Schizosaccharomyces pombe: one gene and its partner. The protein of the gene in region 1 interacts with the protein of each later gene in a pairwise test. Each region holds a gene or a part of one and is shown in the gene's direction. Other genes may lie near its edges. The genes, in order: spo13 and spo7.

Evidence for each region.
Region 2: the proteins of spo13 (region 1) and spo7 interact in a two-hybrid assay, tested with the Schizosaccharomyces pombe proteins (one study listed by BioGRID).

The regions. Positions count from the first base shown.
Region 1 is NC_003421.2:603,807-607,018, reverse strand, and holds spo13 (protein Spo13), read left to right. Parts: upstream 1-2,063; 5' UTR 2,064-2,146; coding exon 2,147-2,162; exon of another isoform or gene 2,163-2,213; coding exon 2,214-2,614; 3' UTR 2,615-2,653; downstream 2,654-3,212. Other genes in the region: U3 snoRNP-associated protein Rrp5, read right to left, coding at 1-682; uracil DNA N-glycosylase Ung1, read right to left, coding at 2,890-3,212.
Region 2 is NC_003424.3:3,245,952-3,253,400, forward strand, and holds spo7 (ArfGEF Spo7), read left to right. Parts: upstream 1-1,807; 5' UTR 1,808-2,646; coding exon 2,647-6,603; 3' UTR 6,604-6,930; downstream 6,931-7,449. Other genes in the region: histone H3.3 H4 heterotetramer chaperone Rtt106, read right to left, coding at 537-961, 1,006-1,629, 1,675-1,756. UniProt on the Schizosaccharomyces pombe protein: Appears to have a role in sporulation.

The DNA.
Region 1 (3,212 bases):
TCGACCCAGCAACAAAATCCGCAGCCTCAGGAGCAGAACCGTTCGCATCTTGCGGCTTAAGACTTAGCTCGATGTGTCTTTTTCCGGTTTTTGTAGTATTTTCCGAGCCAAGGGCTGTAACAGAAACACGCACCCATTGACCAACTTTGTACAAATCCATCAAATCCGGTATTTGATTAAGACCGTCTTCCTCTTCAGTTGCTGCATTATCTTCTGCATGATTGTCAATACTATCCAGACGATCAGAAAGCTTATCGGAGATATTTGTGATAGGTACATAACCTGTCAAACAGTTTGGTAATGAGACGGCCAAGTCCAACGTATTTATTTGAGCAATTTGACCTAAAATTAAAGAGCCGGGTGTGATATTTTTATATCTTAAGCTTTGAATATGAACCTTCAAATTTTCTTCGTTGTCCAATTCGGATTTGGAAGATTTTTTACTACCCTTTTTCTTAGGACGAGTTTTTTTACTCAATTCAGCGGTACCAGAAGCGGACTCCATAAAGTCCTTCTTAGCCTCTAAAACAGCTTCTTTATACTCTAAAGGAGTCAATGAAGACGCCCCACCTCGAGGGAAATCTTGAGTTGCCTCGTTAGCACTCAAAGAAGAAATTCTCTCATTCCCTTGGGAATCCGAGCCTTCGGAGGCATTGCTCCTCTTTCTTTTATTTCCAGCCATTTACTTCTATGAACTTCTGAAAAGAAAGAACGACTGGAAGAAAGAAGCTTTTTATACAAAGTAGTTGGTAGCGAGTAAATTTATGCTGCTGCTACAAAAGAAATAGTCTAGGAAGGGTAACGCATCATGAGAATTTCTTTTAACGATGAATATTGTACTACGCAATAATATGAGAGTTGAGGAACTTAAAAAAGGTGCACAAACAATATATGCGATTGTACATGGCAAAAAACAGAAAAACTTACAAATTGATCATTTAATTTAATTTTTTTTCTTCTTAATTTTTTTTATCTTAGTTATTCGCACTGCATACACTATTAATTTCATAATGAATAATGCAAATGCCAGAATGCTTGTTGGTACAAGCAAATGAAACGATAAATCTAAATTTACGAAGCTTGGGGATGTTTATTTTTTTTCTTTGATTAATTTTTGTAGCAATGAAACAAAATTAGGAACAGCGCGGTTGTAAGTTTATTACGCCGGACATTTCCATGATACATAGGATGAAAAAATTGGCTATTACAATAGAAATACAATATTTATCACAGGTACAAAAAGAATTTTGCGTAAACCCTTGTTTTTAGCGCTTACCAGTTGAAATGGCATCGATAGTGAATGTCAAAAACCTTCTCCTCAATCTAAATGTTGACCGTCGAAAAGGTTATTTCCGAATTTCCTTTGAAATATTAATTTTTACCTCCATTATTTCTTTTCGTTACTTATAGCATTCAAGGGTTCAAAATTGTCTTGTAAGTTTTTATACCCTCTTCTATTTATTATTGTTCGCAGCAATTTTTTTAAGCTCTCGTTAGTTAGATTAGTGTTTCGTTTACAATTTTAACCCTACCCTACCCGAATGAATGTTTTGTTTACACTTTGGCAGGTTACAATAGCAGTGGACATGAAAATGAAATGAGGAATTGCACTCTGTAATTGTAAGTATATGCTTGAAGCTCATATAGAATATGATAATAAATTCAAAGCATCTTTATAGCTCAAGTATCTTGATTTGAAATCAAGGACCGAGAAATTGTTACATTTTGTTTCTTTCGTTTATTGTTCGATAATTTTTGTTGTAAAAAACGAAATGAGGCTCACTTAATTCTTTCCTGTATTGGGTAAAAAAAATTTTTGTATGAAATTGATAAAATAAATTTATTTCTTCAGTGAAATTGATTCAATGTTCCATAAATTGTATATTGAATGTATTGCTCATAAAATTCACGCAAAAAAATATAAATAAAAAAGAAACAAAGCAAACTGATAAAAATAATAAACGGATGATTCTTCAACATTAACGAAGTCTTTCTCCTGTTTGTTGTCATTTATATTACGGTTAACAGCCATATGTACTGTGTCAACAAATGACATTTTCTCTAAGCAAACAACTTTAAACCACTGTACTTTTGAAAAAAAAGTTAGCAATTAGTATTTTATAGGAAAGGAAAAAAAATTGAAACAATGATGAGCAATTCTCGTAAGGGACAACATGACAATACAATATAAAACAATTTTTTCTAACATGTAGAAATTTCAAAGCTTTTTAGCTCTATCTCTAACAAGGAAAATTCGAATGAAAATGCTTTAAAAGAAAGCACGAATAAACAATTAAACAATGCCAATACTTTAGCAATAACCCATTTGAAGGAACAACTTTCGAGAGAGGTTCAACGAAGAGAAGAGTTGGAAGGATTGCTTGAGCAAAGTCAGAAAGAAATGGAAGATTTATCGGTTTCACTGTTCACTGAAGCAAACGAAATGGTGGCCAAGGCAAGGCAGGATACAGAAGTATTAAAAAGAGAATTGGACTATCTCAGGGCAAAAGAAAAAGGACGTATTGGGAAACTAAGAAGCATCCAAACTGCTGTCCGAACTTCAATCGAAGCCAGAAAATTACTGAGTTATTCTAACGAATCAAATTACCACTGATTACATTAAGTCTTTAATAAATGTGCCGTTTACGATGGATTTGACATAAATATTAAACTTTAAAATGAATGATTTAAATGTTAAGACAAAAAAAAAATAAATCCTCTGCGAAAAGAAAGACATAGAAAAATAACACACATTAAGCAAGTCCAATTGTAGGTAGAATAAAGATAAGCATGCAAGTGGTATAATAAAGCAAGCATGACAAAAGAAAATAAAAAGCTTGATTAGACCTATTAGCATCCAGTAAACGAGCAATTATTTTCTGACTTTTTCTACTCAGTTGAAGAGGATTCCAACTCGCTAGACTTTATTTTTGCTTTTTGTTCAGAAACAGCGCTCCAATTGATGCATTTTTCAGGTCCATACTGCTCTTCGAGCCACTCATTGGTTTTCTTGAAATGGTGGCATTCAAAAAAGCCACGATGTGCAGAGAGAGGGCTAGGATGGACACTTCTAAGTACATAGTGTGCTTTCAAAGGAAGACCTTGAAGTCGCTTAGCTGCTGGAGTTCCCCATGCTAAAATTACAAGACCCTTGCGATTCCGATTCAACGCAACTTGCAGGACAGCAGAAGTGAAAGTTTCCCAACCCTTGC
Region 2 (7,449 bases), on another chromosome or scaffold:
AAAATTAAACAATTAGTTACTTATAGTCGTCTTTTTTTTTGAAAAAAATAATTAAAAAATCTCGTGAAAGAGTTTTTAAAGATTTATGCTAATTGTGAATTAAATTATGGGCAGTTCAGGTAATTCTTGCTTAAACTCAGCTACCCTTCTGTTAAAATGAACATCAGGAACTTTAAATAACCGCTATTTACATTATATACCTTTTTTAAGAGCGGCAGATCGAATAAGGTAATTAGGAATTTTCATAAATTAGTATTATAGAAAATATTTACATGTTGGTCGGGTAATTTTTGAGAAAACTCAAACAAGTGGGAGCGTAAATCTATTGATTAGCACACAAAGTCCAGATCCACACTTTTTAAACTATCAACAAAAAATGTATCCTGCGACAACTTTGTGTATAACTTGAGTCTAAAACAAATTTGGATAGCTCACAGATAACCTTTTGCTAGAAGACTTTAAATTTATTTAAATCCTTAAATTAAAACAAACTGGTAATAAATAAAACAGAAAAAAATTTATGTACATTCAACTTTCTATTCTTCGTCCTCTGAACCGATAGATTCGCTACCGTCCTCGCTGTCGCTGTTTTCGACATCCTCGTCGTTATCAGAGAATAAAGGTTCTTTAACATCAATATCATCCATATCATCAACATTTTCAAGAGATGATGCCTCATTCAAATATGAAACAGATGGATTTTTAGGGACTGGTGCAGCTTTTTCTTCAGCAAGACTGGAGTCCATTAGTCCATGCTTTGTCGCGTAATCATTTACTGCTCTAAAGACACTTTGATCAACCATATCGAATGAATATATTGTACCACCAGCTTCAAAATTAACTGTAAATGTTCGTTGCAAAACATTACTATAGGAAAAATGCTGGATGCTAGCTAGTTCAATGAAAAGTATAGGTTTACGGAAGCCCCATAGTATGCCAGTACGCAGAAAAAATAAATGCCCTATTTGATTAGCAATTTTGACACAGAATTCATCCTTTGCATACCATCTTTAGCTTTATAGTTTGCTTCAACCCCATATGTCGTGCCATTGTCCCCCGTTTGCGGGTTTGGACAAACAAATTCTTCGACAGAAGGAGACAAAGTACTAGTGCCAATAAACTCAAAGTAATCGCGAAAAATATCCCATGAGTTCGTGCAGTGGGTGAAGGATCGTAAACCTTCAACGAGGTTGAGCTTTTTCAAAGGATACGGTGCCGTAAAAAAGACAGGTTCTTTTACATTATCACTTGAAACAATATTTTCTGCCGACGATTCACTTTTAAGGATGATCACAAAGTTGTTTTGAACATTAGCTTTCCTTGGACATGGGACATGGATTGCACAACGAATTTCATTCCAGGGAAGCCAAAATTCAATTAAATTGGGTTCGCCTGGTAATGTTACTGCTATTCCATTTTCATAAATGTAGACGTCTAGCTTTTTTCGCATAGGTGCCTGAAACGATAGATTAAGTACTCCATAGACCAATTGACCTAACTCATGTTGAACACGATCCTTTCGTTTTAAACTTCCAGCCTCCTTCACTTGGCCTGATTCGTTTTCCTTTTGCAATGTATTGATGTACTTGCAAATTCGATGCACTAGAGGCTGTATACTTTTTGTTTTCCCTAATTTCATTAGACTAAGGAAAAAAGCATGTACTCAAACCTTACCATATTGTTTGATTATATCTTTTGCTAACTCAGAATCTTTGGCAAATGCCTTTTCTATTTCATCGTTCACGTTGGACTCCATTAGAGATGGCTGCCGGCTAGAATTTATTGAGTCTTAAACAAGGGCTTCGACAGCACACCACACCTCAGCTAACAGTAACAAATGTAATAGCAACTATTTCCATTATCATGCAAATGATTTCGATCCAATAAAAATTTTATCCCAAGTGGTTACGTTCAAACTTCGGTTCGCTGTTGACTTTATGTTAGCAACAAATTTTTATTTTATGGATCAATATGAATATGCTTAATTTATAATTGCTCAATTTTACTCAACAAAGGTAGTCATTTTACATAAATGAGATAAAAACTCATTCTATTATCGTATCAGTTACTTTCGTATGAAAAGTCCAAAAAAGTTGGGAACATTTTGTGAAACGATATCGATTTTCCCTTTGATTCTTTTTGCGATCTATAGATAAATTTCAGCTGTAGAACTGATTAGCTTTCTTCAGCATTGGGAAGGTCAGATTGTTGCTCCTATAATCGGATATGGTTTCCCTTAAAGTTGTTATTGTTTCGATTTTGTCAAAGAAATTATTAAATGATCCTAAAATTCGTTTTATTGGTTTATGTTGTTCCCGATGTAATCAACGTGTGTTGACATTTACAAACGTAAACAAATAGTTTGTTCGCTAGGTCTAATGCAATGAGGTGTTTTAAGACATAAGCTATTTGTTTTGCCTATTTTTCCTTTACCCTCAACCTCCCTCAAAACTGACGGTTTGTATAAATATTTAAGGAAACAATTTTGATAATTGTCCTTACAAAACTTACATAATTATCCTAATTGCTTTCGCGATCAACCGATTGAAAGAATTCCTATATTCATATTGTATTTTTTAAGCGTTCTTCCGACATAACTATTAATTTCTTTTAATCAATTGTATAATTATCCACGAAAAAGGTAGAATGGATTTTAGAATAACAGAAGGATCTTCCCCAACAAGCTTAAGTGTTTCGGAAAAAATTGCAAAGTTGGAATCGTGCAATGATAGTCGCATCACTTGTCGTCCTGTGAGAGAATCAAAGCCTACCTATACTTCCGGCCAAAAGCATTCAGCGTTGCTTTCGAAGTTGAAGCGGTCTAAAGTTACAACCGATTTTTGCAAACTTGAGGAATCAAAGGGAATAATTTGTCAAGAAAATTTGCATACGGAAGGCGCTAAAAGCAAAACGGAAAATATTTCTGGAGAAGACAAATCTTCTCAGAGAAGGACACGCTTGAAGCAGATTCAGGAATTTATAAGTCATCGTCGCTCTTTTCTCAATTCCAATGCCAATTCTGTGGAGTCTGAGAAAATCTTGGCTGAAAACAATCATATGTTTAACGTTAAAAGCAAGTTAAGCAACAAAGAATCGTTTATTAAAACCCGGCGTCCTCGAACAAATGGTGAACTTTCTGATTTAAGCCTTCAGCCTAAACGAATATTTAGTGAACCCGTAAACTCTCATCCTTCTCAATCCATGTTCGGCAACGGCGTACGAGCTTCCTCTGGTTCTTACTCATTAAAACGTGATTTGAAAGATTATGAAGAAGAACTTCCATCTTCTAAAAAGCGCCAAAGAACGCCGCCTCCGATAGTCGTTACCAATTTTCCTCAGGAAATATTTCCTTCAAAAAAAATTAGTTTATCTGCTAAGAGGAGGATTCAGGGGAAGTATTCCGGGGAAAATGTTAGAGCAAGGATCGAGCTAGCTAGGGAGAGAAATAGAAAAAGGGACTATGTTTCAAATTTATCTAAAGGGCATACTACAAATGCTTTAGAAGAGAATCCCTTTAATTTAGGTCCTAATTATCGGGCTTCCACCAGAAAATGTAACAGAATAAAGGAAGCTATAAACCTATTTGCTGCTAAAAATGGTTCAATGGAAGTACCACCAAAAGTGTCAGTCGGTGATTCAGTTCTGACAACTTCTCAGAAGTTTTTGCAAGTGATAAGGGAAAAGACTGCGCTACTAATGAACCAAGATTCTAATTCAGTACAACCACAAGCATTGGCTGCAGCAGAGTCTCCTACAACAAAGGCTCCTACAACAAAGGCACCGACATCTGAGGCTCCTCCCAAGGGTCATGTTAAACAACTAGCCAAACAACTAGGAAATATTTACATGCCACAATCGATAAACAATGTTGAACCGACATCCCATTCCAGCATATCTAAGGTAGTTAATCCATCAGAGAAAGTTATTTCAAAAATTGAGAGAGCGTGTCTAGCTGGAAATGGTAATGTACACCCGAGCATAAAAATGGAAAAAAATTTAGAGTTGAACCCTCATCCAAGAACTTTGAACGCTACTGAACACAAAATCAATAGTCGTATACAGGTATCGAAACTTAACACTAAAAATGAGCTTGCTAATGCTGATCCCAAAATGTATTTACTTGAAAATCTTTCTGACCGCCTATATTTTTGCAAATTAGCAAAACTTTTGCTCAGGAAATACCCTTTAGACATCGCGGAACACCAATTTGCGTTAGTTTATTCAAGATTCCAAAGAATACCACTAAAGCAGATTTCTTGCTTAAAACAATCGTTGGTTGCGTATTATTCAGTGCTTTCGGAGGTTGGTATTACAAACGAAATAATGTTGCGTGAAAATCGGTTTTCTTCACCCAAAACCCCCGAAGGTCTAGTTTCAATTTCAAAATTACTATTGGATGACCGAGAGCATCTTAGTCATGATGAACGTAGCTATATTCAACAATTGCAAAGTCAGATTAAGTCTCAGTCAGTTCACCATGAAAACGCAGCTGAAGAAATTCGCAAGATGCGCAATTTACGCAATTCACGCATAAATAGTCAGCAGGTTGGCGAAAAAGTTTTTGTGAATCCAGATGTCAAAACTATGGATATTCAGGAAACGTTCCTACAAGATTATGAAGATGAAACGTTTGCTAACGAAGGTCTGAGCGCTTCAAAGTTTAAAGAAGAGTTTTTGCTTATAAGTGATAGCAAGAGTGATCTCAATTCCGAAGAAATAGCAACTCCCAATTCTTTGGAATTTAAAAACAATCCAAGAATTAAAGTTCCACGATCACTTTTAACTATTTTGAATTTACACGACCGTTCTCAACTGAAATTGTTCGAGGTATGTCACAATTCAGAGTTTAAGGACCCCATTAATTTATCCAATTGCTTACGGAATTTGCTAGAGAAGCAGCTATTGTCGTACAATTTTACAGATTGGTTTGCTAGTTTGGGATCTGAATATGAAAATGTGTATGTAAAATTCATATCACACTATGACTTTTCAAGTTTAAATGTTTACGCTTCCTTTCAAAAATTATGCTGTGATCTTTACTATGGCTCGGATGATTACATACACTCTCCTATTTTGCAAGTCTTCGCATCTTGTTGGCTTAAGCAAAATAGTAATTATGGGTTTTTAAATGAAGACATTATTGTTAAAATAGTATTGATTTTAATTGATTTACATAAATCAACCTATTCTAAAAAGCTCAATTCTTATGTCGTTCCGATGGAAACTTTTGTGAAATATGCTCTCGAGAAACTTCGTCCTCTCATATCTCCAGATTCAGTTTGTATTTTGTCGAAGGAGGACAAAAAGCATTGGCTCAAATATAAGAAGAACCGATCAACGTTTGCCAAATTGCTTTTCTCAACGTGGAGCAATTTACCAAGCGATATCGGTTTCATACTTGAATGCATGCTAAAAGAATATTATGATACGTTTCTGAAGTCTCCATTTGCAGTACCAAATGCCGTGCAAGCACAGTTGCACAACCAAGTAAGAGGTGATTTGACTCCCAAAAGGAATCGATCATCTCTGATATCTGAATTAATGAAAAGTTCAAAATTACTAAAGCAGGAGAGTTCTGGAAACAAAAACAGCACGAGTCTTGAAAGTGATGCTTTTAAGGAATCTTCGTTTGTTTTGAATGAAGAGAATGGAGGAATTTACGCAGGAAAGGAGATTGATCTTCCTGAACCATCAGTTATAGATGGTAGACCACATTTTTCGGTGTTTAATTACACTCATCATATGCAAGAAGAAAAGACTCATAACAGGTTACCATGGCACCGACGAGGCATGATTTCATATAAGAAAATGGTTTTAAGCAAAAACAATAGATGGGTAGCAGGTTATTGGAAGAAAAAGTACTGTATTGTCGATAGTGGAAAACTAATCTTTTATAAGTCAGATCATTTAGATCCAAATGCTTGCTCAAATGTTAGCCCCATCCATAGAGAATTTGGCTTGCAATCTTGCTTGGCATCTCCCAATTTACCTCCATCAATTAATTCTAATCGCAATAATGTCTTTTATCTAAATATTCCAGGAAATGAGTGCTATCTTTTTGAAGCGCCCAGCGTATTAGCGATGAACGAATGGATTCATTCTTTAAATTTTAATGCAGCCATGATTACTTGCCCTCCTCTACCAGAAAATATTACAAACACTGAATATGGTTGGGGGTACATTTTAACAAGAGCTGAGAAAAAGGCTTATTATACTGCTGCTGATGGAACCAAGACCTTTGTCGGTGACCTGGCTCAATTAACACGGTGGAGTCCAATGGACATTCAAGGATTACAAGACATTCCTCGTCCACTGCGTGATAAGGTTCATATTTTACGAGATTGTGTTCCTTCTTTACTGGAAACCTGCCTTCTTTTCCAGTCTTTGCCTGAAAAAATGGAGAAATGTTTTGCCGCCGGATCTAAAAATTACCTCAAAGCAATGGATAATTGGAATAGAAAGATGAAGTTTCTATATGAACGATCAATGATGTACAAAGAGTACCAGCGAGTTTTGGAATGCGAGTACGAATATCGGAAATCCCATGATTTCTACCCAACTTTATCTCCTGTAAGATATCCTTATGATTTTAAAGGATTATAAAATTAAATTTCATTCAAAGTAGTTAAACGAATAAATAAACTTGAGTGATGAAAAGACATTAGGCCTCCGATTGAGAGAATGCTACTTAGATATCTTTTTTTTAGCTTCTGAAGAAGAGGGTTAATAGTTGTCGAGAGTTCCAAATAAAGTATTTTGATTTTATTTAGATTTGACAAATCTTTTGTCATTTTATTATTTTTTTATGCTTAAACTTCTGATAACATCCAGTTATAGAATATTTCATTATTGCAATATATGCTTCGATGGGATTATTTCAAATGCCTTAATACGCGCTCGTTGAAACTGAATAACTACGTTGGTTACCGCTCATTTTAGCTTTAAACTTACAATAGTAACTTTACTTAGATACTTAATCAAACAGCTTGCGAGAACTTGGATACATGCTATAGCTACCAGAATGCTAAAGTCCAAGTTTCACCTATTTTGAAATAAAACAATATGAGTAGAGGTGTATGCAATTAATAAGGAATAAAGCAATTATAGAAACAGAAAGAAATTGCAGTACTTTTATATTTCACCTTCGTTGATTTATAATACTGTTTTAAGCATTAATTTCTGATTAATTTTTTCTCGCTTAGATAAAACTCTACATAATCCTTCTTTGCAAAGTCACGTCGCAATGGAGGGCGCTAACGGTTAACATAACCTGAGCACATATCGCGTCTTTTGTGCAGGCGTTTAACAATTGCCCGATATTTAAAGAATCACTATTGATAAAACGTACTCATAATTATTCTTCTACCTTTAAATTATTATTGACTTTGTATGATTCAACGAATTATAGTAGAGTTACTTTCCACCTACGTCGCATCAAGGGTATAAAAC